7 linked regions of the Solanum lycopersicum genome follow. Each later gene encodes a partner of the first gene's protein in a complex. Links are inferred from orthologs where the notes say so. Each region holds a gene or a part of one and is shown on either strand. Other genes may lie near its edges.

What was found.
Region 2: mediator of RNA polymerase II transcription subunit 15a (region 1) and mediator of RNA polymerase II transcription subunit 17 share a complex: the UniProt entries of both Arabidopsis thaliana proteins name them as parts of the mediator complex. The link is inferred for Solanum lycopersicum from reciprocal best matches to the Arabidopsis thaliana genes NRB4 and AT5G20170.
Region 3: mediator of RNA polymerase II transcription subunit 15a (region 1) and mediator of RNA polymerase II transcription subunit 32 share a complex: the UniProt entries of both Arabidopsis thaliana proteins name them as parts of the mediator complex. The link is inferred for Solanum lycopersicum from reciprocal best matches to the Arabidopsis thaliana genes NRB4 and MED32.
Region 4: mediator of RNA polymerase II transcription subunit 15a (region 1) and mediator of RNA polymerase II transcription subunit 31 share a complex: the UniProt entries of both Arabidopsis thaliana proteins name them as parts of the mediator complex. The link is inferred for Solanum lycopersicum from reciprocal best matches to the Arabidopsis thaliana genes NRB4 and MED31.
Region 5: mediator of RNA polymerase II transcription subunit 15a (region 1) and mediator of RNA polymerase II transcription subunit 14 share a complex: the UniProt entries of both Arabidopsis thaliana proteins name them as parts of the mediator complex. The link is inferred for Solanum lycopersicum from reciprocal best matches to the Arabidopsis thaliana genes NRB4 and SWP.
Region 6: mediator of RNA polymerase II transcription subunit 15a (region 1) and mediator of RNA polymerase II transcription subunit 21 share a complex: the UniProt entries of both Arabidopsis thaliana proteins name them as parts of the mediator complex. The link is inferred for Solanum lycopersicum from reciprocal best matches to the Arabidopsis thaliana genes NRB4 and MED21.
Region 7: mediator of RNA polymerase II transcription subunit 15a (region 1) and mediator of RNA polymerase II transcription subunit 8 share a complex: the UniProt entries of both Arabidopsis thaliana proteins name them as parts of the mediator complex. The link is inferred for Solanum lycopersicum from reciprocal best matches to the Arabidopsis thaliana genes NRB4 and MED8.

What each region holds. Positions count from the first base shown.
Region 1 is NC_090803.1:3,490,980-3,495,065, reverse strand, and holds the start of mediator of RNA polymerase II transcription subunit 15a, read right to left. Parts: upstream 2,801-4,086; 5' UTR 2,643-2,800; coding exon 2,500-2,642; intron 1,686-2,499; coding exon 1,574-1,685; intron 1-1,573. UniProt on the Arabidopsis thaliana protein: Component of the Mediator complex, a coactivator involved in the regulated transcription of nearly all RNA polymerase II-dependent genes.
Region 2 is NC_090811.1:1,518,090-1,520,634, reverse strand, and holds the end of mediator of RNA polymerase II transcription subunit 17, read right to left. Parts: coding exon 2,136-2,545; intron 2,053-2,135; coding exon 1,741-2,052; intron 1,003-1,740; coding exon 679-1,002; 3' UTR 501-678; downstream 1-500. UniProt on the Arabidopsis thaliana protein: Component of the Mediator complex, a coactivator involved in the regulated transcription of nearly all RNA polymerase II-dependent genes.
Region 3 is NC_090807.1:64,223,280-64,226,968, forward strand, and holds mediator of RNA polymerase II transcription subunit 32, read right to left. Parts: upstream 2,445-3,689; 5' UTR 2,299-2,444; intron 2,297-2,298; exon of another isoform or gene 2,168-2,296; intron 1,914-2,167; 5' UTR 1,871-1,913; coding exon 1,430-1,870; intron 884-1,429; exon of another isoform or gene 868-883; 3' UTR 501-867; downstream 1-500. UniProt on the Arabidopsis thaliana protein: Component of the Mediator complex, a coactivator involved in the regulated transcription of nearly all RNA polymerase II-dependent genes.
Region 4 is NC_090802.1:52,519,641-52,523,655, forward strand, and holds the start of mediator of RNA polymerase II transcription subunit 31, read right to left. Parts: upstream 2,801-4,015; 5' UTR 2,647-2,800; coding exon 2,609-2,646; intron 2,525-2,608; coding exon 2,427-2,524; intron 2,238-2,426; coding exon 2,141-2,237; intron 1,976-2,140; coding exon 1,897-1,975; intron 1,507-1,896; coding exon 1,229-1,506; intron 1,075-1,228; coding exon 1,059-1,074; 3' UTR 1,008-1,058; intron 836-1,007; exon of another isoform or gene 92-835; intron 1-91. UniProt on the Arabidopsis thaliana protein: Component of the Mediator complex, a coactivator involved in the regulated transcription of nearly all RNA polymerase II-dependent genes.
Region 5 is NC_090800.1:84,070,838-84,074,337, reverse strand, and holds part of mediator of RNA polymerase II transcription subunit 14, read left to right. Parts: intron 1-135; coding exon 136-310; intron 311-810; coding exon 811-1,726; intron 1,727-1,951; coding exon 1,952-2,973; intron 2,974-3,309; coding exon 3,310-3,500. UniProt on the Arabidopsis thaliana protein: Component of the Mediator complex, a coactivator involved in the regulated transcription of nearly all RNA polymerase II-dependent genes.
Region 6 is NC_090801.1:60,839,865-60,843,775, forward strand, and holds mediator of RNA polymerase II transcription subunit 21, read right to left. Parts: upstream 2,656-3,911; coding exon 2,446-2,655; intron 1,307-2,445; coding exon 1,229-1,306; intron 1,057-1,228; coding exon 1,005-1,056; intron 881-1,004; coding exon of another isoform or gene 873-880; exon of another isoform or gene 859-872; coding exon 782-858; 3' UTR 501-781; downstream 1-500. Other genes in the region: iron-sulfur cluster assembly SufBD family protein ABCI8, chloroplastic, read left to right, coding at 3,594-3,911. UniProt on the Arabidopsis thaliana protein: Component of the Mediator complex, a coactivator involved in the regulated transcription of nearly all RNA polymerase II-dependent genes.
Region 7 is NC_090802.1:67,516,184-67,519,683, reverse strand, and holds part of mediator of RNA polymerase II transcription subunit 8, read right to left. Parts: coding exon 3,394-3,500; intron 3,320-3,393; coding exon 3,139-3,319; intron 2,724-3,138; coding exon 2,616-2,723; intron 2,534-2,615; coding exon 2,463-2,533; intron 1,297-2,462; coding exon 1,006-1,296; intron 1-1,005. UniProt on the Arabidopsis thaliana protein: Component of the Mediator complex, a coactivator involved in the regulated transcription of nearly all RNA polymerase II-dependent genes.

The sequences.
Region 1 (4,086 bases):
GGGGAGGGTGAGGAATGTACAAAGACCTTACCACTACCTCATAAAGATAGAGAGATTGTTTTCGATAAACCTTCAGGCCTCTACTGAAGTAAAGAATCTCCAAGCAGCGATTTGAACAAGAACAAAAAAAGAAATTAAGTTCTTTCCTTAGGCGTGCAACCAGATCTGGGAGGATAGAGTGGGGAGGATGGAGTTTACACAAACCTTAAACCTACTTTGTGGAGGTTGCTTAGGCATGCAAAGACATTCAAATTAGATCTAAATTATTTTTTTGTGGTAGTCAGTATAAAAATTAGTGTAAAAGTAGATTTTGTGAATCTATGTCGGTTACTCAAATATGAAATTATTTTATTTAATTCCATATAACTTATTACTATCCATTTTGCGTTGACAAATATATAGTGAGCACTGCCCCCAAGGCCTAGCTCAAGCGGCAAAAGGTGGAGGATTTGTAACTTAGGTTGCAGGTTCAAGCCCCACCATGCAAACTTGCAAAGCGACGCTAAGTATTTAAGTGGAGAAGGGTAGAGGGCCGGGCCCATTATCCACCGAGTTTAGAAGACTGTGATTGGTCCAAAGGGTGGCGGGTCACAGACGGATTTCTCTAGGCCCATTATTCACCTAGTTTAGAAGATTGTGATTGGTCAAAAGTGTGGCGGGTCACAGACGGATTTCTCCAGGCCCATTATTCACCTAGTTTAGAAGACTGTGATTGGTCCAAAGGGTGGCGGGTCACAGACGGATTTCTCGGTTATCAAAATATATATATATATATATATATATATATATATATAGTGAGCACTCTTGGGGAATAATAATTAATATGATACTATAATATTTACGTGTGAGAAAAACATGTCAATATGCAGAATTAACCCTTTTTTTGTTTGTGACATCACTGTAATAGGTAATTTTACTTACACAAATTACCAATTAAATAAGATTTACAAATCACATGCTTAAGATGAACTGATATATACTATCAGGCTCTTCCATTTCCCTGTTATAAGAACCTTGATGAGAGCAAATATAAGAATATCCAATTATTATTTTTAATGTCAGCCATGTCTTGGTAAAATTGCTAAAATGGTAATTCATGTTTTCCTTTAGGAGTACGAAAATCAACATAAACATAATGATATGGGTGGGGGGTCAAAATCTTCGCAGGATTATGCGGATTTGGCCTGCAACCGCACTGTACCTGGTCCTCTTGCCATCCCTAATACAACGTGTCTAGATGCAAGTTTATACAAGCAGGAATAACATCAATGATAAGGAGAACAAATTGAATCATTTATGTAGAAGAATCCATCATCAGATAAATGGATGGTTGTATGGTTTTGGAGAACAAGTTGCATCAAGAGTCTCAAATCGGATGAAAAAGGATATATGGTCTCGGATAACAAATTGAAACAAGAATCACACATTGGATGAAAAAGGGATGAGTGATTCCCTTATATGGTCTTGAAAACAAAATTGCATCAAAAGTCTAATATCGGATTTTAAAGGCAGGGGTGGTTTATGAGCTAGCTTTACAATTTGAACAAATAAGAAACAAGTTTAGACTACATACCTGACTTGTAGCAGCAGAATAGATCTTTTCTTCAAACCTTACAGCAATTTTCTTAAGCTCCTGTACTCCTTCTTGCCCAGAAACAGGAAGATGCCTCTTTAAGGTCTCCATTCTATATAATCATATCAACAAAAGATCAACCTGAACTCTTGATAAAAGCACAATCTAGATAAATACTTCTCAAATATATTAAAAATAATTCGACATCACGCCCTGCTACAAAAGAGTAAAAGTTGTTTCCTTTAAACAAATATCAGCAATTATAATCCAATTATCTCCAGTGACAACCTGTCATTTTGACATATCAAGAACAAAGTCTTGATAAGATCAAAATCTAGATAAATGCTTCTCAAATATATTAACAATAATTTGACATCATACCCTGCTACAAAAGACTAAAACTTATTTCCTCTGAGCAAATATAAGTAGTTATTATCCAATTATCGCGAACAACAGCCAACCATTTCGACATATCTAAAACAAAATATAAAGCACAGTGAGTAAAACTAGGTTTTCCCACTTGAACTAGTTCCTTGACTGATCCACCACAACACCACCCCCACCCCCAACAACAAAACATACCTAGTGTAATCCCACACATGGGGTCAGAGTGTAAGCATATGTTACCCCTTGACTAATTACCAAAATTGGTAATAACTAGGGCACAAAATTCCAATTAACTCACCCAATACCATTAACAAAAAACCCCCCAAAATTCACCTAATAAAGTAAGTTTCCATAAAACAGAACGACACTGAAAAAAAATATGTATCAGATTGATTAATCAATACTTCTAACGAAATCGGATTTCTTCAGATAACCGATAAAACACAAAAAAAAAACCCTAAAATTCAAAATTCCAGAAATATAAAAAAAAAAACAAGAACAAGTCGCAAAACCAAAAATTAAAAAAAAAAAAAACTTACATCTTATTCACAATTCTTTGACGCGAATCGGGCATAAGTTGAGTCCTCCAATCACCGGACTCCATAGCTCCGGCAGCCGCTCCACCACCTTCACCACCTCCCGGAGCCTGAGCCTGAGCGGCCCTCCAATTATTCCCATCCATTTCAACTCCGCACCAAAATTCCTTAATCCACAATCAATAATCACAATTTCTGGCTTCGATCAACGATGAAAAATCACAATTGCGCCTAGATTTCTTGAGTGTATGTATAAATAAGAAAATAAAACTCCCAAAGACTTTATATTATACATTTCATACATAGTAATAAATTTTTTTAGTAATATCTGACTATTACCAACGTGTCCAGCCGCCATTGACTCAATATCTCTTGGCCCATTCACTAGTTTTAAGCTAGTTTAAGAAAAAAAAATTTATGTTTAATATAGTGATTTTATTTTAGCATTGTGTAGTATATAAAAAGTTTTTATTTAAAAAAAAATAAATGATTTGAATAGTGATAAAAGTATTTTCTCATGGAAAATATATTTTCCTAAAAAATGTTTTCGTGAAAAACAAGTAGAGTTTGAAATTATTTCCTCATGTTTTGTAAGTGAGTAGAAAATATTTTCCGAAAATGATTTATAGTGTTCGATTTATGAATGAAAAATGTTTTTGATACTAGAGTAAAAAATAATTTATTAAATTTAAAATATTTTTTAAAAACAAAATTACTATTTTATGGGGTGAGGTATGGGTGGGGGTAATGCGAGGGGGAGGGGGTAAGAGTGAAAAAATAAAAATTTAAAGTTGTTTGTATTTTTAAATAACAAAATTAAATTTTTTGGGATTGGGGTTTGAGGGGGGTGGCTGACCGGGAAAATTAACTAGTCAACGAGATTAGCATTTTGACGAGGATCGTTGACAATTTTTATTATGATTAACTACTATTTTCTCCGTCCATAATTAATTTTCATGACTTTCTTTTTTAAGAATCAAGGTATAAGAATTTTGATTAATATTTTTATCATAGTGATATGTAAAAATTGTAATTTATATTACTTTTTGTATAATTTTTAAATATCTATTTTTTAAAAAAAAATTGAATTAACGTAATTTAATTTAACTTCAAAAATTAGATAAGTTAACTTTCGAAAAGCGCAACATGACAATAAAAGTGGACTAGGAGAGTATGTTTTTTTCCTAGTTAAAATATGCTTAGATTGGGAATTAAAAGAAACTCTATGCATTTATAAATTAAATTGTAATAAATTAAGTATTGTCGTGTATATAATTCGTGCAATAACAGAATCAACATATCATTTACGATAATTTAAGGGTATATTTATCCCCTTTTCCTTTATTATATACAAATTAAAAATCAATTCATTTTCTTATCTCATCCCAAATTCATCAAACACATCCCAAACAATTAAACATGAATGTAACAACTAGTTTAGTCGTGTACGAGTTCAGTAAAACACTTTATACGAAAATCATATATTCAATTTATAGGCAAATTTAGAATTTTGAGATGATGAGTGTATTATTATGAAAATGTTGATCTAGTATATATATTTGATCGGTTTTACATTTAAGTTCTTACATT
Region 2 (2,545 bases), on another chromosome or scaffold:
ACTACAAATGGGTATAAGTTAAATATTTCCTTTTTAGTGGGGTTCATGTTTGATGAAGCTTCTCTTATTAGTGGTTTATTAGTCTTGTCAAAAATTGTTTATGTTATTTATTGTGATCAAATTGTTTGGTTTATCTCTTATTGGTAAGTCTTAATGAATGATGAATTTGGATTAAGACAAGACTAAAGTGACCTAATTAATAATTTAAAATGCACACTCGACTCTTCATAGCCACAAATAAGAGGTTTCTTTCTATATGTTTTGATGATTTAAACTACAAAAACTTTACTTGAAAATAGAAACTTTGAAAATATTTCTTCTCAACAAATATTGTTTTTAGTTGCAAATGTATCAATGAAGTAGGTTTCCAAGAAATGTAGGACAACAACAACAATAACATACCCAGTATAATTTTAAAAAATCGTACAAGTTAAATTCGGAGATGTTAAGATGTACATAGACATTGCTTAGAGGAGAAGTGTATACACAAGAACCTATAGTTTCTCCAAATGATGGAATAAATCCAACAAACAATTTACTTTTTTAAAAAAAAATTGAATCCACAATGATTTAGCTTATGAGCTATTGGATGTATGATATTCTCAGCTACATAATTTGTACAAGATAAATATTCTTCGAAGAAACGAAGAAAAAAAAATACAGATACGTAGAGACAAATCAATGGCCTGCAGTACTACTAACGCTAACCATATCCATTAAGGTTGAGTATAACACTTCTAAAGATAAATAACCTAAGAATTTCCTAGTTTCGGATTCACCACTGTTAACGTCCATTTGAAGTTTGTTTTCTTCAGAGAATCCATCGCCCATCACCAACCACCAGGAAATACATCCTTGAATATCTTCAGGGTCTACGTGTGCCACGAGACTGAGTGTTTCTCCTTGCTCTAGCTCAAATGACAAGGATAAGAAATCCCGGTTTGCTTTGATACCAACCATAAGGGCTTCTTCATGAAGCCATCGTATCACCTGGCTGGCAACCTGAAGAAGAAATTAATAGCTTGACATAAGGTTGCTGCAAGATTGGAAGTGACATTGATTTCCAACGTAGATTGTATATTGATTTGTTTATCGAAAGGAAGGGTACAAATGTGATGCTTTTGCTTTTCCCTTTCTGTGATAACTGAGAAAATGGAGCTTGGGGCTTTGAGATTCCCTATGATGGTGCGGAACATTATGTTCCCTTGTCTCCCCAATCCCCCAGTGCCAACTGGCAAAAGGTTTGAAATCTAAAGGATAATAGGTTTGCCCCTCTATACTCTGCGACAAGATTCAAACTCGTGACAGGCGCCTAACTAAAGCAGTGATTTGGAGGTGGGTGAGGACTGAGGCTGGGGCTTCACATTTGTTTCTATGGTAACAAAACAACATTCTCCCTCACCATCATGACCACAGCTATCCACCAGAAGTTTGGTCCCCGACCACAAGATAGCAAATTATCCTAGGCAGCAACACAAACAGTTTGAAAACCTTCTATGCTACTCGTATCACATAAATCACCCCACGCAATACAACAGAAAAAGACTCAAAGAGTTTGGATGGTTCAACTGAATCACAGGAAAAATAAAAAAAGTCTAGGATCATAGGCTTTCTTTTTTAAGGAAGTACCAGCTCTAGGATGAATAGAAGTTTATCCGGCCAGAAAATGAACGATTCTTCATAGTATGGTCACCCATTTTCATATCAAAACACAATAGTAAAGAGGATGAGGACACAGACCTGCTGCAATAGAACCATCGGAAGATCTGACAAGTCACAATCATATCTGTTCATAGGGCAAATACTATCAGGCTTTCCTTTGAAGAGGCCAACAATATTAGGAGCACCTTCCCCTTCCAGACTGATGCAATCATCACGCACCATGACTTTTGTACGAAAGTGAAATTTCACATTCTTTACATAGTCAGATGAGTGAGACAGGCTTCCTGCATGGAGAATTGACTCGGGTACATCCATGGAAAGCGTCCATGATGATGTTCGAGAATGCCAAGTGGGATGCGATATTAATTGGACATATGGTACCCTGCTAACCTACAGACAAAACAAGGAATTCTTCAGATACATAATGGCTACATTAGCTAGCAGTTTACAAACCCAGACAGAAAAGTTCATACCAGACTTTCGAGCTCTGCGAGGACTTTGTTTGAGAAGATCCTATGAGCTAGAGAGACGCAGAAATGTCCCAAAAGGTTGGGACCATCTTTCACAGGTTGAGAAGATATTTCAGGTTTGCCCAAAGATGATAATCTATTTTTGGCTTTTATAAACACATGTTCATGAAAAAGTTGTTGCAAATAAATTTCAAAACTAATTCGATTGGGAAACCCCAACTTTTTCAAGTCAAGTTTCCCTTCATCTTGTTTTGAAGCATCAACTGATTCAAAAGGCACAATAGCAGTTTCTGGATGTTCATCACCCACAGCATTAGCTGTCTGACCATCGTCAGCAGATGGTACAAGTGAAATGGACAGAGAAGCTCTTTGACCTATACTTAAACGTAACAAGTTTTCTTGTATTCCTGTCA
Region 3 (3,689 bases), on another chromosome or scaffold:
CAAAAGATGCTCTTAAGCATTGTATGTTGCCTCAAAACCCATTTCTTCTTGGGTCTGCATAAAATTAATGAAAAGAGCGTTGTTTTTTCTGATATATATAGCTTTATAGAGTAGCCTCTGCTTGTCATCCCTTCAGACGATTCTCAATAACCATCAGAACTTTTACATCATAGATCTCTCATTTACTAGTATTAGTTTGCGTTATTGGACAAAGACGTTTCCAAGTGCAGTGACAAGTGAGAACTTCTGTTTTCAAAGTTATTATACAGTACAACTAAATATTAGACTGAGATAAGGTTAAATGGAGCGACATGGATACTGAGCATTTGTGTAGCAATCAAGATGTAGTTGTAAGCTAAAGCGTATTTACTAATACTGCTACACTCAAAGCGTCATAATACTCTGTTGCAACAATTCCAGAGGTCTCCAAAGCCTACTGAATGAGTTCATCAGGGTTAACACAATTAACTAAAAAGCCACTTTACAAGATTGGAGATATATTTCCTAACAAAAATCGATTATAAACATAAATACTCGAGAATATAAGGTACACATAGCAGACACAAACATACAGCCTGTTTGTATATGTTGGTATGCTTAAGATCTAAATAAAGCTAACAGTGCAGTAGCTCATACTGCGATAAAAGTAAATCTCTGTGCCTAGAAAACACAAATGTAAATTTGCCAGATCTTCTCATAAGATGGCGAGGGAGGGAGGCGGTAAAGGTGGTTTACAAATATCATTCCAAAGTATTTCTTCTACATCGTTACAACATGACTTCATACATCAAACATCAACTTTAGCGGCTTACTAAGGCACATAAGATCTTCTGTTTCTCTCTGCTGATCACCAGACTCTGTAGTTACCTGAAAACAGTCACAACTAATAGTTCTTTGTTTTACAGCGATGAAAACAGAATAAAACGAAACCAATTTTTTTTTTCTAGTTTCCATTTGTCTGTCAGAAGTGTTGGGTCAAACTCAGCTTAATAAGTAAGGATAGTACATAATTGATCATAAAAAAAGAAGTTGGGTCAAACTTAGCTTAATAAGTAAGGATAGTATTCTTCATAAATAAAGTAAGGATAGTACATATAACATAATTGCTGCAGAAACTAGTGGTTACTCACAGTTATTCGTTCTGATGGAAGAGAACATATGATGCCACTAAAAAGCAGTTTTGTTAGCTTCTACTACTTTTCTATCAACCTGGAAATTTATACAAGACCAGCGGTTTTGTAATAGCAGCTCTTATATATGAATCAGTTTCAGTTCCAAGGGAATGTTCACTTATTTGCTTCATCATCAAGTCTAGGATACAAAGCCTATCACTAATAGTTCATTAAATAATACAAATTTGTTTCCAGATTATTTAACATAGTCAACGGAAACGACAAGGACAGGAAGTATCAGCGAGATTTCAGTATACCTATTGAGCTGCATCTTCAGAAAATCTGGCATCAAATGGAGCAGAAGGATTGGGATGTACTGCTGAAGCACTATTCGCTCCAGAACCATGTTGCAGTTCTATCACTAGCCATCTTACAGCTTTACTCATCTGCTCCAACCTAACAGCACTAATGGGTTGAAGGCCACTTGCAGCTGGTTGCCCAGGCTTCCCTGAAACAGTGCCTGTAGCCTCATCCACAAGACACTCGGAGCCAATTCTTTGCTTAACCGATTCCACAAACTCCTCCGCCTGATCACACGCAACCCTGAACAACTCCCACTTTTGCTTAAAGTTTTCTAATGCAGCATCAGTTGCTGCTGTTTTCTGACCATTAGAACTCTCCTTTGATTCAAGTACAACAGCTGATGCTGCAACAAAGTCTTGATATGCACTGCTCAGTGCATCTACGAGATTATCCATCACAACCCCTCGAAGCCCTAATTGATCACTAACCTCCGTAAATCTATAAAGGAGAGAATAAATTAGCAAGAACATCATTAAAAATTTAATCTTTGTATCAAGACCATCATTAAAAATTGAATCTTTATAGCAACAACATCATTAAAATTGAATCTTTAGCAAGACCATCACTAAAAATTGAATCTTTGTAGTAATTTCATCATTAAAAATTGAATCTTTGTACAACAATTAAAGAGCTATTATGCTATCAAATTCTGCATACAAAAACAAACCCAAGAAACAATTTTCTATGATTACCCAAAACACTCAAAAGCAAGAAATCAACTGAAACAAAATTGATGCAATACACAAATTTCTTGAAAATACTCAAATAAATTTAAGCAAATGAAAAGAAGAAAAACCACAAAGACTAGGGTTTTTCTACTTACTTGACTGAAGGAAGAAAATGGCTTCCACAATCTTCTCCTCTGTCTTTTTTTGGTTTTTTTCTCTTCTCCCCTCACTCTGTTTCGAAATAATTACATATTCCTCCCCAATAGTTTTCATTTGTAACACAAAGCTTCCCTTTAGTTTCAAAATTAATATTTTAGAGTGTAAGATTTTTAAAATATATTTGAATAAAATCATAATTGAGTAATAATTGTTTGAGTTTCTAATAATTATTTATATATATACGAGTGCTATTTTATTGGACTAAAGGAGTAGTATTATTTATGTATCTTAATTTTTATTTTATTTGTATTTTCATCATTAGTATTATATATTAAGTGTTCTATGTACATTAAAATGAGACATATATTTTTTTTCATTTGTTAGTGTTATATATTATTGATGAGTAATTATATTATATGTGATGAATAAAATTAATTTTACATTAATGTTTAAATTAAATATTTTGTTTAATTGCTCAAACTTGTCAAATTCATCGGTGACCTCCTAAACTTGCTATCGATTTTCACTTAGAACACCTAAATTAGGCGATGTTCATTTTAGACACCTCGTGTAGGGTTCTGTTGTGTCATTTTGGCACTTTTTGCTGACATGTCAAAGTGAGTGTGATACACTTAACAATAGCGCGTGAAAGACTTAATTTAGCCATTTTTAATTTTATTTTATCTTCTTCTTCTCCAAGCCACCACCCCCTTTTTTTTCGAATTTAAATTCCTTCAATGGAGGTCAAATTTTTTATTCAAATTCGTTGTTAAGTCATTTTCTTCTTCATCATTGTATTACTTATCTAAGTCTATCTTCACCTCACTCTATTTTTTGCCGGAAAAATGGATACCAACACCCATATTTCATGTTTATTCTCTCCCTCCTTTCTTTTTTTAAAGAAAAACAATACTAAAAAGAAGAATAAATATGAAAAATAGTAAAAGAAAATAATATTTTTTTGTAAAGCACAAAAGAGATTTGAGTGTAATGAAATAAGAAATTTTCGTAGAATAATATTTTAAATTTTTTTACTAAATAGATTTTATAATTATTTTTAACTGAAAATAATACATGTAATTATTTAATTGATTGTTTGCCACGTCATCAACGAGTGTATTACACATTTACACTCTCCTTTAGTTTTTTATTTATTGTCAGAAAAGTATCAAAATGACACAGTTGAACCTTACATGGGGTGTTTAAAATGAACATCGCCTGATTGAGGTATCTAAGTGAAAATTGGTGCCAAGTTTAGGGGCCATCGATGGATTTGACCTAACATTTTTCATACGCATACAATATCACATAAGACCAACTTTTATTTCACATTTATTATTAGAAAAATTACTGAAATATACTTTTTATATTCTTCTTATTTTCAGTA
Region 4 (4,015 bases), on another chromosome or scaffold:
TGTCGAGAAAAGGACACACGGCATAGTTTCAAACTGAAACTCATAAATATATATGGGGAAGCACTTCACTTGACCAAAACGAGAAAAGAGATGAGTGATAACATGAAATCCTTGGAATTCCGTTAATGAAAGTGATACAGCTAATATAATTTTGTGTGCTGCACTTAATTTCAGGTCTATAGATCTAGGTTGTACCGATTCTTAAGTGTCACACCACCCAATTCAAGCCAAATGGATAAAGTTCCTCTTTTGTTAGTTTTCTGGAAAGACAGTAGGCCCTTGAGAGTCAGTACCTGCAACTTTGAGGACACGGAATTGGAACAGTCGAAGGGGAAAGAATAACTACAAAGGCAAAGGTGATTATAGGAATTCGTACAGGCTAGCCGAGGAGAGGGACCGTAACCTTGCCCAAGTGAAGTGCATCAAAGACCATAAATACTCCTCCCATTTACCATAGATTATAGGCAAAGGTTCATATACTTAGACCACACTAGAGAAGTTGCTCCTTCATTTATCATCAAAATCTGAAGTTCACATGTCAATATGGTGATTCGAATTCTTCACTCCATTGATAACCCATTACTGCTATAAGTGTGCATTGGCAATCTTCCAGTCACCTATCACCAGATGTCTGAGCTAAGCCTAAAAAATTAAGCAATTGAAACCACAAACGAGGGCATCCCAAAAGAGTTCAAAGGCAGGCTGCTTCCTTTCTGTTTTGGTTACTTGGTTTGGGAATAAAATTAGTTCTACATTTATTTCTTAAAGAAATTTGATCCTAGTGAACCCAACAAATGTGTAGTTGATCTCTCGCAAAACTTTAGCACTATGTTTTCTGACATGAGAAAGAAAGTACAGGTCATTGATCATGCTTGAGACTTGGGAAGGACTCTAAAATTCAATAAACAACAAATCACACTCTTAATAGGATTTCATTAATGTGTTTGCCAATGAGGAACTGCAACACCTATTCGAAAAATGAAATCATGGGGTGCAAAATGTATTACCTTAATTCATAAATTAGTTGATAGGAGGTCTGTGCTATGAGTAAAATAAAATTATCCGTCTTTCCTGCTAAAACAAAATTATCCAAGTCAATAACCATTTCAGAAACATTACGTCACAAATCTAACCCTAAAATATAAAATCATAACAAGAGGGAGCATGCAACAACAAGCATTGACAAAGTTTTCACAGTAAGAGAAAAGTAAAAGAGGAGAGGAAATACTTTCTCTTTCTTCGATCAACAGAAGCATTCCTTGGGTCCGTTTTAGCAAGACCAGATCCAGGAGGGATGGCATACTGCATCGGGGAAAGAGCTGCAGCTGTAACAGGTGTAGGAGCAGGAGGTGGAGCAGTTGGAGGGGCTACACTTGATGGTAGTGATGCAGGTGGAGCAGAACTTGGTGCAGTTGCAGGCTCAGGAAGCGGCCGCGGCAAAATATGTTTCAACCGGTTATTTCTGTAGTTCTTCCAGAAGTAAAATTGCTGCCTATGTGCTACTTCCTAATAGTTGTTACAAACATGTAGATCAGATCCTATCACAGATTTATGTGCCAGAACTTTAGGTTGGCAAACAAAGTGCAATAAATAATAAACAGTGAAATGAGATGAGATGTCCTCGGGGCGAGAATTAACCTCGACAACACGATTAAATAATTATAAGTTTTATGCCTAGAAACTACGGGAAAGTTCAGAAATGGAAATAAGGCTAATGGCTAAGACAATGAAGTACCATGTATTATAAAGTGTTTTGGCAGCATTTTTAGTCCATAGAAACTGTGTTTACAGAAAGTGGGGTGAACCTTCTTTATAGTGGCTGACAGTCTTAACTAACTAAAGAGTATAGCAAAAGTGGAGAAGGAAACCAGGACAACACATGACATAACTTTTTACCTTGTTAGCAGGATGAGCCATTGCATTACGAAATGTTGGATTTTGGAGAAGCTCGAGAAAGAATAGGCAGTGTGGATACCTGCATTAACATCAAGAAAGGAAAACCAATACGATTAGTTAACGATATCCATAGTCCACAGGAAACAGAAAAGGAACAAGGACCATCATCCACTGCATCTAAAAAGTTGCAGTAGAAAGAACATACATAACTATTATCACATATTAATACTATAAACTAACTTACATTATAAACTTTATGTACTCAGGTCGTTGCCAGTACTGAAGGTACTTCAAGTACCCAATAAAAGCTTCATCTTCAAAATATCTGTTCTGAGCCAAATCTGCATCAGAATCAATACAAAGTCCACAAAACAAAACAAAAAATGAAAAAGGGATAGAAAAATTGAAGCTTTTGCAACCCAATATTCATTTTCACACCAACAACATATATAACATAAAACTAACAATAATTGGTAAATACCCAGAAAACATCATGTTTAAATAAGAGAAGGGAATAGATAGATAGATACAGTGAATGTAAGTTGGGTTAGCAAGGCATTGAACAAATTCGAGTTCGAGTAAGAAACGTTGGCGCCCATCATCGGGATCTTTATAGACGCTTTTCTGCCTGCAAATTGGAACAGAAAAAACAGTTGATTAATGTGAATTTGCGAAGATGCAAATTGATTTGAGATGAATTGATTCTGCTTACGGTGATTCATGGGTTTCTGGATTCGATGTAGAAGCCATGCGCTAAACCCTAACTAATTCTACTTTTCAAAGTTAGCCGTTGATTGTATTGCTGCGCTATATATACAAAAGGAAAGTCTGAAATTCATTGCATTTTTAAGATGTAATGTAAAAATGGATTAAATTCATATTGAAATAAAATTTCAGTGTTAAAATGACATCTTGTATTTGATTTTGATCCTAATTTTTATTTGCTCAATATGAGTGTGTCATTAGATTCATTTACTCACCTAGATTATACAGTCGATCAGATTGAAATGGTTAGAAATCTTTTTTTTAAGTGAAGTCATAATTCTCATATGTGATTATACCAGTGTTACTAAAGATGAAAAGCGCAAAAAAGCTCTTACGATCCATGGGGAATTTAAGCGCAAATAAAATGTAAGCTTTGATGAAAAAAGACGCAAAGGGAGGAAAAGAGTATAAGTATGCATGTTTAGTCCAAAACTAATAACTATAAACATGAATATGTCAAATATATGATCAAAGAAATTGAAAATAATTATGACAAAGTGAAATATCAGTGATTTAACTTCACTGTCTCATAAGAGGCTCATTGGTAAGGTGACGTTTGCCTTAGAACATTGGTGAAGACACTAAAGTGCACATAAAGCGACGCGAAGCCCTCAACACGTTTTTGAGTCTCGCTTGCGCGCTTTATATCTAAGTTTTGACCAGTTTTTTATTAGTATGCATGAATTTTTAAGCTTAAATTCGTAGTTATATAAATGTGAAAATTGTGATTTTAGTCCAAGGGGTTAAAAAAAAAAGGGCGATTTTGGATGCAACCTTCATGATTTTGGTTTGGAATAAAAATCTTATATCACTTTTGATATTTATAAGCTTGAATTCAAGTTGACTCTGTTTCGGTTATTTCTCAAAGAAACATGTCTACGGGCCACAACTGAATATATGTGTCATGAAAGAGAGGTGCATAATACCATGCCTAAAATGAGCATGGAAATTGGGGGTTTTGGACCTACAACTACGAAATCATATTTCGATGACCAATGTTTCCAACCAAATTTTAGATTTGTTTACCCTTTATACAATTACCAATTTGGACTACTTCAATTGGTATGTCCATGCTTTTTCCTATTAACAAGACGCTTTACCATACACTACAAAATCTTCATCTCTGTCTATACCAAAGCATTTTGTATCTACCCTAACATGGAGTAATAAATAGTCCTTTAATAAAATTAAACACCATTGGTCTTATTGCATGTAGCTATTAGGATTTGAAGTTGGGGATAAGGAGGTTTAGGAGAGGGGAGCTTAAGAGTGACCAAACCACAACCATACATAATTCAGACCATCTCCAACAAACTGTCTATTTTATTTGTCTTTTCCATTTGCTGCCCAAAAT
Region 5 (3,500 bases), on another chromosome or scaffold:
AATTATCTACGGTCTTAATTGCTTTTGATGTTTGCAACTTTCTTCGAGTACACTGTTATCTGGATCTCTCTTTGAGAATCCCGATCAGGAAGCAAGAATTTTTCGGTGTACTCTTAACTATTTCTTGTATTCCAGGAATGGACGCTTCATTCTTCACTCATCCAAGAATGTTATATCATCATCAGTAGTTGTTGAGTGTGAAGAGGCCCTAAACCAGGGAAGTATGTCAGCTGCTGAGGCTTTTATTAGCTTGAGAAGCAAAAGCATTTTACATTTGTTTGCGTGCATTGGGAGGTTCTTAGGCCTTGAGGTATGCATGCATTTTTATCTCTTTTTTTCCTGTCTTTTGGCTATTAGTTGTTCTGTTTATTAATTTTGATAGAGAGGCTTTATTGTTATATTCAGTATTCCTTGTCTTGACTTTTCTGCCAGTTGCCTTCCTTTGACATTTAGGAGTGATCTTAACTTCACATAGGCTTTGCTTAGTCATTAAGTTGCATGGAGCCATATTTTTTTTTAATCGGTGTGGAGCGATAACTATTTTGTTTTACTTTTTTTTAAAAAAAAAATAAGTGTGGTGTCCTGGCCAGCTTGCCTTTGTATGGCTTATGCTTCTCAGTAACTTGATTATTAATTGCCAGTTTGTTTTATTATTTTATCTTGCTGCATATGTTCTGTAGATGCAGTGGCTGGATCAAAGTTTGGTGTTTGCATTTATGCGTTCAATTATAAATCATTTAAGCTTATCTAGTGGTAATTGATATGTTTAGCTATTTTAATGATTATATGATATATGAATTCAAATCCCAGGTCTTTGAACATGGGTCTGCAGCAGTTAAGGTGCCAAAGAGCATTTCTTCTGGTACAAATTTGTTGCTTATGGGTTTTCCAGAATGTGGAAGCTCGTACTTTTTGCTGATGGAACTAGACAAAGATTTCAAACCTGTGTTCAAATTGCTTGAAAGTCGGTCAGATTCACCAGCAAAAGCTCAATCTCTTGCTGATCTGAGTAACGTGGTTCGTGTAGAAACTATTGATGTTGGAAGGATGCAAATATGTGAGGACGAGCTCAATTTGAGTCTTCTCAACAGCAAGAAATTGCTGTCTGTTTTACGTAGTGATGGCGGCAGTCACCAAACTTCTGAAAATAGTCTTCTTGCCGACTTCAGCTTGGAAGGTTCTATAGTTGCTTCCGGTGTGCAATCAACATTTTTGTCTATTGTTGATGAAGTATTCGAACTTGAGAAAGGGTCCTCGGTGCCTTCTTTCTCTGGTCAAATCCCCCCATCAACATTCGGTGCTTCTCCTGCATCTCATTTTGGCACTGGTGTTGCTAATTATCAGAGTCTTAAAGTTGGAACTCTGTCCCCTAAGTGGGATCGTGGAGTAGGAAACTACAGTAACTCCATGTACAAGGGCGTGATACAGTCAGGTTCAGTTGGTTCATTAGCTGCAACTCAAACTGGGAAAAAGTTGACAGCTTCGAAGTCTGAGCAAGATTTGACTTCTCTCCGATCACCTCATTCTGCAGGAGTTGGATCATATACATCATTGGATGAAGACCAGCTGACTGTATCTACAAATCGGTCAGCTCGGCTCCTATCTCCACCACATCGAGTTTCTGCATCAAGTGGAAAAGCTAGTGGCTCAAGAAACTCTGCTGTGGGAACTTTACCAGGTGGTTTCAGGACTGCTGACTCTAACTCATTGGTTTTAAGTCCCGGATGTAAGTCAAATCACCTCTGAGAATGTCTCTTATATATCTGTATGTGGTTGAGTATATACATTTGTCGCTGTAGCTCTCCCCCCCACCCCCCCACCCCCAAATAAATAAATAAATAAAATAAAAATTGAAATAATAATAATAATAACGAAAAACTCCAATGCTCAGGGGACATGGTTATTTTTTATGCATATTTCTCAGAACTGTGTTGCCTTTGTTTTTTGCCAGCCCAAACTATAGATTCAGCAACATGTATAAAGTCAGAGCAAGATGCAGCTTCAGGATATAACATTTTGCCTAGGAAGCGTACATTGTCAGATTTGTTAGATTCACTTCCATCACTTCAATCAATGCAGTCCAATGAAGGATCATATAAGCGAAGAAAACTTGTGGAGTCTGCTGGCACCCATCTACCCAAGTCAATGATGCTTACTTCTTCAGATATTTCTGGGAAAACTGAAGAGTATAGCTATGGAAGTCTTATAGCTGAAGCTAATAAAGGGAATGCACCTTCTAGTATATATGTTTCTTCCCTTCTCCATGTAGTCAGGCATTGCTCACTATGTATCAAACATGCCCGGCTTACTAGTCAGATGGAGGCGCTTGACATCCCATATGTTGAAGAAGTGGGTCTTAGAAGTGCATCCTCGAACTTATGGTTCCGAGTTCCATTTGCCAGAGATGACACCTGGCAACATATATGCCTGCGGCTAGGTAGACCTGGAAGTATGTACTGGGATGTGAAAATTAATGACCAGCACTTCCAGGACTTGTGGGAGCTTCAGAAAGGAAGCAATAGTACTCCATGGGATTCTGGCATTCGGATTGCCAATACATCTGATGCAGATTCTCATATTCGTTATGATTGTGAAGGAGTTGTTTTGAGCTATTATTCAGTTGATGCAGATAGTATAAAGAAGTTGGTGGCCGATATTCAAAGGCTATCTAATGCTCGAACATTTGCGCTTGGAATGCGGAAGTTGCTTGGTGCTAGGGCTGATGAGAAGTTTGAAGAAAATAATGCAAACTCTGAAAGTAAAGCACCGGCTGCACTTAAAGGCACTACTGATGCAACTGATAGAATTTCCGAACAGATGAGAAAGCAATTCAGAATTGAGGCAGTAGGACTGATGAGTCTGTGGTTCAGTTTCGGTTCTGGGGTGCTTGCTCGCTTCGTGGTTGAATGGGAATCTGGTAAAGAGGGCTGCACTATGCATGTTTCACCTGATCAACTTTGGCCACATACAAAGGTTTGGTTTCTATTTTTTTACGTATAAGTTGTTCTGTTTTTCTCCGGTCTCCTTTTATTCCTTTTGTTTTTCTTGTCTACAATTCCATGAGCCTCAAAATGCTTATGAACCTATAATTGGCCTTTTTTTGAGATCTTGAGTTATACGTTGTTCCATTACATTATTGCGGTTTAAGCTAGGAAAGTCCTGTGAAATATTCTGCATGTGGGGGCATAGCCTTTCTATTTTGTTTCTCTTTCAATTATAAGCATTTTCATACCATATTTTAAGCTCAAAACTTTCACTGTTGGTTCCAAACTTAACGACTTCCATATTTTTGTGTTTGGCAAACCACAGTTTCTTGAAGATTTCATCAATGGTGCTGAAGTTGCATCTCTTTTGGACTGCATCCGTCTCACTGCAGGACCCTTGCATGCTCTTGCTGCTGCAACGCGGCCGGCACGAGCAGCTCCAGTTTCTGGTGTTCCTGGTGTTACAGCGCCTATTTCTTCTGTTGCAAAGCAGACTGGTTATGTTCCATCCTTACC
Region 6 (3,911 bases), on another chromosome or scaffold:
TGTAGTCTTCAATACGTCTCCTGCGTTAGTTTCTTCATTCATGTATTGATGCCAATTGTCATATGACGTGGTTGAGTCCTTCTACCAGTCATAGTTGGACCCACGTTCTATCTAAATTTTAGCATTCAACAAACCCCGATGGCTGTAAATTCTTCTCTTCGTTGCTGTCACGCTTACATATTAGGCAGACAAGGTTTTCTATATATTTTGTGTGGTTGCTACTTGTTTTCGGCCACGCCTCAGTTCCAGCACGACAAGAAAATATTCTGGCGATATGCAATCTAAACTCCCAAAGTACCCAGACACAGCCCAAAATGTGTCTACGAATTAAAATCATCAACTCGGTAGGGTAGTTGTGCATGCCAGCTGCCATGTTTTGGGATCACATGTTTACGAAGTCAGTCTGATAATTGCATAACTTTTGACAAGTGCTGGAGCAGAGAAACTAGCCAACTTCTAAATTGAACACGTGGCACAGAAGACACTAATATTTAAGGATGTGGAGACAAAAAAACTGCTGATTTTTGCTATTTAGGCACATTATCCCTACCTCTTTTCATTCTATAAACACAGCTCTAAACCAGATACAATAGTATACTGAATTCTTTTCTTCAGCAGTGGCCAAGAACTTAAAAAAAAAATAATGTCAGAGCATGCCTAATTATAATTAGTTAATAAATGTACCCATAACAGACATGGACACAATCAATTTGTTGTTCCTCCAGGGTATATTCCAGCAAGAATGGGCTCCTCAAGCAAACTGAAATATCTACTACCTTATTCATTCTGGCTTCTTCAAGTTCAGGCAGTTATCTGTTGCTTGGTTAAACAACTCCTGGACCTGCTTTAGCTCCTTCTCTAAATCACCAAAATCAGCAAACTGAGTCTCAGAATAAACAAAAAATTAATAATACAGACAGGAAAACGGAAATTTGGACCTTAGCCTAATCAGAACAGCTTCCACTATCTTTCAGAAAGAAAGCAAGGGAAAAACAAACTCTTACCTGCAGCTTCCAGTTGTTTTTGAAGTTCTTGGCCAACTGCATCGTTCTCAGCCTACATCACATACATACACAACCGAGTAAGACTACTAAGCCCAAAATAGACAGACTAATCTTTATTTATCCTTCTTTATTTTTTTAGTTTAAATACTGTTAAGCTATAACACATCAGAATTAGAGGATGTCAAAAAGTGAATTCCACCAATTATTCACAAAGAAGCATATACCTGGAGTTCTGCAATTCTTTTCAATTGGGCTTCTTCACTCCCATCCGATAAAGGAAGAGCAGCAACCAACACATCGAACTGCTCAAAGAAGGATAAGAAAAAGAGAAGATAGATTTAATACAATGACATTGTAGCAAAGCATACACTTTAGGATCACAATGAAAATTTGCAATTGGTCTGAATTAGAGCCACACAATCCTCAAGGCTACTCTCAAGTGTCGGCTGTGCTGCTTAAGTTTGATAGGATGCTAGATTAGACAACCTCTGATTGTGAGGCCAAGAAGAAAACAAGGGAAACATAACTGTAAACTTGAACACCTTAGAACTAATCACAGGGTTGTCCATATACATTTCATAGAAGACAGCTAAAGGGCGATAAACTAGAACTCAGTTTTCCGGTTTTGACACCAGGTTTACCCGGTGAGTCTTGGCCTAGATGTCATGGTTACCAAACCTGAGAGGCTGACATCAAGTTCTCTAGTAAAAATCCCTAGAGGCATGCAATCCTGTCCAGCTAGTAGTTGGAATTTGTCCGCCATTATGTGATTCAGTCAAGTTTTATTGAAGTAGTTGGTGATGCTAATAGCATTATTGTATTTCTCGTTAAACTAAGGACAAAAGACTAGGTATTTGAACTCAACCACACTGGTCTCAGGAATCAGGACTAAGGTCTTTGAACTCAACCACGCAGGTCTCAAGTCTGAACAAACAAAGACTTAATATCATCTGGTATAGAACTGCATGTACGCATTAGATATGATGAGCCAAGATACAACTTAGTGTTATCTTGTATAGAACTGCACAAACACATCATATATCTAAAGATTTGACGTTTCCAAAAGTAAACATACTAGTCAAAAGAAGACAAAAGAAACATTATTTTGTCCAAAAATGATTTTTTGAAGGAATGGTAAGTGCATTTGTAATACAGCACCAAGAAGGTGCAATCAACAACATTTACAGGGAACACAAAGATATACCTTCCTATTCTTAAAGGGATTCTACAAGTTCAATCACTTATTCAGGCTCATTTACAAAAAAAATGTCTACACAAAAAAGGAAACTAAACTAAATAGTTTATCTTGATCTTCCGAAAAAAGAGAAAATTCCCTATTCTCGAAGTACACGCAGATTACTTTTATACCCTGGTCTGTGGCTTGTTCATATTCGTTGATGAATAAGCAGAAAAAGTGAAGGTATGGAGTATGGAGTTTCACCTGCTTGGCAGCCTTAACAAAAGCAGCACTCATTTGCTTTGGTTGTTCTGCAACATTAGCTGAGTCTTCTGTGGGATTAGCAGGTGGAGGTTCTGGATAATTAGGTGATAGACGCACAGGAGGGGCGTCCCTCTGAAGAGTACCAAAGGTGTTGAAAGCAAGAGCTGCAATTGTATTTACTTGTTCCTGTAACTGTGATATGATATCCATCTTCCAAATCCTTCCCTTTATTGCTAACAAAAATGGTGAATTTTGAGAAAAGATCGAACAAAGGAATAGAAAACAGAGGAGAAGAACTTACCTGAAAACCCTAGAATTGGAGGTCCGGGTAGAGCCGAAGTAGATTCGATAATCTGTTACAATTGTTTTAAAATTAGACCTAAAATTAACCATTATTTCAATTAAATTTTACGAAAAATGCTCAAAAATATTTCTGAATTATCCGAATTAGCTCACATATATCTTTAAATTAAATTCTAGCCCTTCTATTAAAGTATTGAGTTATTTTTACCCTTAATTTTAACAAAGGTGTGTTAAGTGTCACCTGAACGCCACGTGGACACCATATGGATGCCACATGAGCACCAAAAAACATCATCTCCATGTAGACTCATAAATCTTAATTATTAATTTTTTTCTCATTTTCATTCATTTTACTTCTCTAAAACATAATACGATTTCCCTTTTTTTTTCTTAGACGATTTTCTCTCTTATACGATTTTCCCCAGGATTTTACAAATTTCTCTTATGAACGCCATTGAATTTCTGAGTAAATTTCGTCACTTTCTGAGTTTCACCGTTCTTATAGATAATGCACAAACACCAGTCCTAATTTGTAAAGTAACATGCACAAACACCAGTCATAACTCTTCACATTTACTTGTTTTTATTTTAAACCTTTCAACATAAAGTCTGACTTTATCATTATCAAGTGAGCGCTTAAATGACATAAAATGCAACAAAAATAATTTAGCTTTACTATTTTTTTTAATTGTTTTTTTTTTGTTGTTGTAATTTAGGCTTTGAAAAGATGCACGTGGTCAGCATACGACATCTTAGATCAGACACCACAAAAAATTAAAAAAGAAACAAATAAAATTTATGTTTGCCTTCTCATCCTGCTTCTTTCTATCTTCTAAGCATCAACTATGGCTTCTCTTCTCACCAACGGAATCTCACACTTCTGTCCTCAATCCATCGCTGAGCAGCCTAAACTCCCAAAAGGGTATAACTTTTTGCCTAATTCACCCGGCCCCAAAATCTCAAATCCAGGTAATTTCAAGATTAAAGCTGCTGATGCGAAGGCCACTGTTGAAGTTCCAGGTAAAGAATCATCTTTATCAATCTCAAATGAAGGCGACCCACTTCAGAAATTCTTGAAAAGAGACTATAAATGGGGTTTTAATGAAAATATTGAATCTTTTGCGCTGCCAAAAGGGCTTTCGGAGGATACTATTAGGTTAATT
Region 7 (3,500 bases), on another chromosome or scaffold:
TTGGCTGTAAAACTAGTGGCCTGTCCTCACATACTAGGATTTACCATTAAGCATATCAAAACAGTGGATCCAATTTATGAATCTATTTTCTTTGTTATTTTATGTCAGTCTTTGACTGTAAAAAGAACACAAAATAGGCTAAGCATTCGCTTCGGATAAAAGAAACCCAGAATCCTCTTTAGATGAATGATCAAAAGTATTTTGAATGGAAGACATCACAAAGATGAAAAAGGATGGGAAAATCCTTCTTAATTGTAAGGGGAAAAATTGAAGAGAGAAATATCATTAGGTATCATTAAAACTGAACCAAACCAAATAACAACAACCAAACTGATTGATATGTATTTGGTTTTGGTTTCAACCAATACTGACCCAAACCGAACCATGAACATCCCTAATTGGAGGTCAAGGGTTGATAAAGATTGCACTGGAGCATGGTTCAGAGGAGTACACGTGGAAAGGAAATGGGGATGACAAGTTACCAGTCCTTATCAAAGAGCAGCTAGGATGGGGATACGGGATACCACACAACTAGGAGGACTTCTCCCAATTTGTTAAAAGTCAACATGGGATGTGGCAGAGGCCTGAGAGAACTCTTTTCTGGACCTTTTAAATGAATCATAATGACTCAAGAGTTGAATGAGGTAAACAATTTTAGCCTTCAACTTTTGTAAATTTTGCGAGATGAGAGGCGTTCGCAGTTGGATGGTGATTCATCAGGCCCTCTCACCGCTAAATCTATTTACGGGTTGTCATAAAGGACTCAGTGGATTCCCTAATGGAACTAGTTGGATATTAAAGGCCAAAAAAAGTGGCTTTTCTGTGAAGGAACTGCTAGGGATTCAATTCTCATAGCTGACAATTGGAGGAAACAAAAGAAGATATATGCCTGTTCTTTATGAGTAAAAGGGTAATGGTAAGGTAGCCCATACTAAGCACGCTATACGTCGTGCAAATTCACAAAAAGATACCTTAAACCAATCAAGATTTTTGTACAAACTGTACCTGCCCCAGTCCAGGCATTGAGGCTTGCCTAAGTTGCTGTTGGGCAAGAATTTGCTGCTGATGCTGAGGTAACTGCAGCATTTTCTGCCTCTGTTGGAGCTGATGCTGCTGCAACTGCTGCTGCTGCTGTTGCTGCTGCTGTTGCTGATGGGTCTGTTGCTGAGGAGATGGTGTATTCATCATGTTAGCACTAGACCTAGGTGAGTTGACATGTTGCAGAGGTGATGCTGTTGTAGTATCAAAGGAAGTGGGCCCAGAAGGAGAAACTGCAGCCCGAAGTGCTCCAGAAGCCTACTCCAAGAGCAATACATACATATTAGAACTGACGAACTTAAAAGACAATAAGGACTCAATATATTAAAATAACTTGGGGAACATTGATTTAATGTAATGTTTAGTTAAGGAGAAAGAATGGAAAAAGGATATGATCAGTATACTTCTGGCAGATTAATCATTTATTGTTTCCATATTACTGATTAGCGCCATGAATAGAAGGAGATTTGCATTTCCTCTCCGAACTCTTACATAAGTATTTAATAGCAAACTCTACTTGATCTCCCATCCTCCAATAAATTCAAATAAATGAGGGAAATAATTCCTACAGCTCTTTCACCCCCAGAAAAAAAAAAAACAGGCGTTACAACTTGCACGAGAAGTTGATGTGTAACCAAGGATGTAAGTATACAAAGAACATGCAGTAGTTGATATTAATTACAATCAGGGTAGTGTATTTGGTGTGTAACATAGAACATGTATATGATTATTAAATACTATAGTGGACCTAGTAAACTCCTTCAGTAACTAATTGATCTAAACCCATTCTAAGATGTGCAGTTTTTTGGTATCCATTTGGTGCTATGGAACATGTGAAAATAATCAGGTTGGCCAACCTAAAAAGAGGTCTGTAAACCTAGAGTGAACTGGGAATAAAAAGGCATGACAATTCCCTCCCCGAGAACAGTAAAAGAGATAGTAGAACCATACAGAAGACGACAAAAAGGTAGCCCAATTCACTAGGCTCCCTCTATACCTGGGACTAGAGAAGGTGCAGACCTTACTTTGCATTTTTGCGAGAGACCTACACATGGCTAAACCTGTGACCCCCTGGTAACACGGCATACCGCTTATCTTTGTTAAGGCTCCTTTTTTCGAAACAGAAAGAAACCATAGCATAATTTTTTAAATGATAAAGATAGAATAGCATAATTGTGTGATAACTACTTGTTCCTTATTCATAACTCCTTTAGTAACAAAATTATGGGTGGTGGAAGTAAAATTCATGTGTTCCAAATTGATATTCACTCATTAACAAGATAACCACTTGTCCCTTTGTTCATAGCTCCTTTGAATAACAACATTACAGGACGCCGGAGGGTGGAAGTAAAATCATGTTTCAAATTGATCTTCATCCCTTAAGCAAAAGGCATATTTACAAGGCAAATTATAAGAAATCTGACCTGTAACAAAGCTCCCTGACTATTAACATTGCTCGATGGAAAGGGAGGAGTATTCTTCAGATAAGTCCCTACTTGAACACAGCATCAATTTCTCTAGTCAGATGTTCATGAAATAAAGTGGAAACAGTAGGACAACAATAGATGATAGGCTACCGGATGAATCAGCGAAAGACTGGGGGCCATCAGACACTGTAAGCACATCTACCAAATGACCAGGAAGTGCAGAAGTAATATGCCTTTGGTCTCCAGGTACACGTAATCCTGCATAAGTACCATTTTCATGAAATCTGTGAGCATACATGTTAAAACAAATCATAAACGAGTGTACCGCCAAACACCACCAAAGGGATGCTACACACACTAGACACATGTCAGGTTTATTGTACATATATATTGTGATGCATAGCAGAAGCACATTGAAGCATCTGACTTGCAATTGCACCTTCTTCGTCATCAGAAATATGTGCAATTTTCTGATTAACAAGGCACTCAGTGGATCTGATAGTTTGCAAGAATCCTTCTCTCTTTCTTTTAGTTTAGATTAAACATCAACATAGGGACCATTGGGGTCCAAGTATCTTTAGCGTCAATGTCTTGTGCAAGCAAAACATTTAACGAACTCTGAGAAGGAGAAAAGATGTTTCTGGGAAAAAACTCAGAACATAAATATTATCACCTTCACCATGATTTACTGCAGTGCGAAGTAAATTTTCTTGTTCCTGAATTTTTGCTGCTTGTGCCTTGTCAATAGTTGGAAGCAGTGTTGGCCCCTGTCTGGTTCCAAAGTAGGCTTTGCGCGTATCAGCTATGACTTTCTCAGCACTTTCACATGCTGCTCCAATCATATCAATTCTAACCTGTGTGTTATAGGTATATTAGAAAGCCACAAGGATACAGAAACAGAAGAAATAGCATCTGCAGAGCTTTCCACCTTCAACTTCTCAATTTGGGATGCTACCGATAGGTGTTGCATGCTGTGTAATAATTGCTCCCTTTTGGCATTATCTTCGACTTCCATCTCTGGCAGCAGCTTTGATG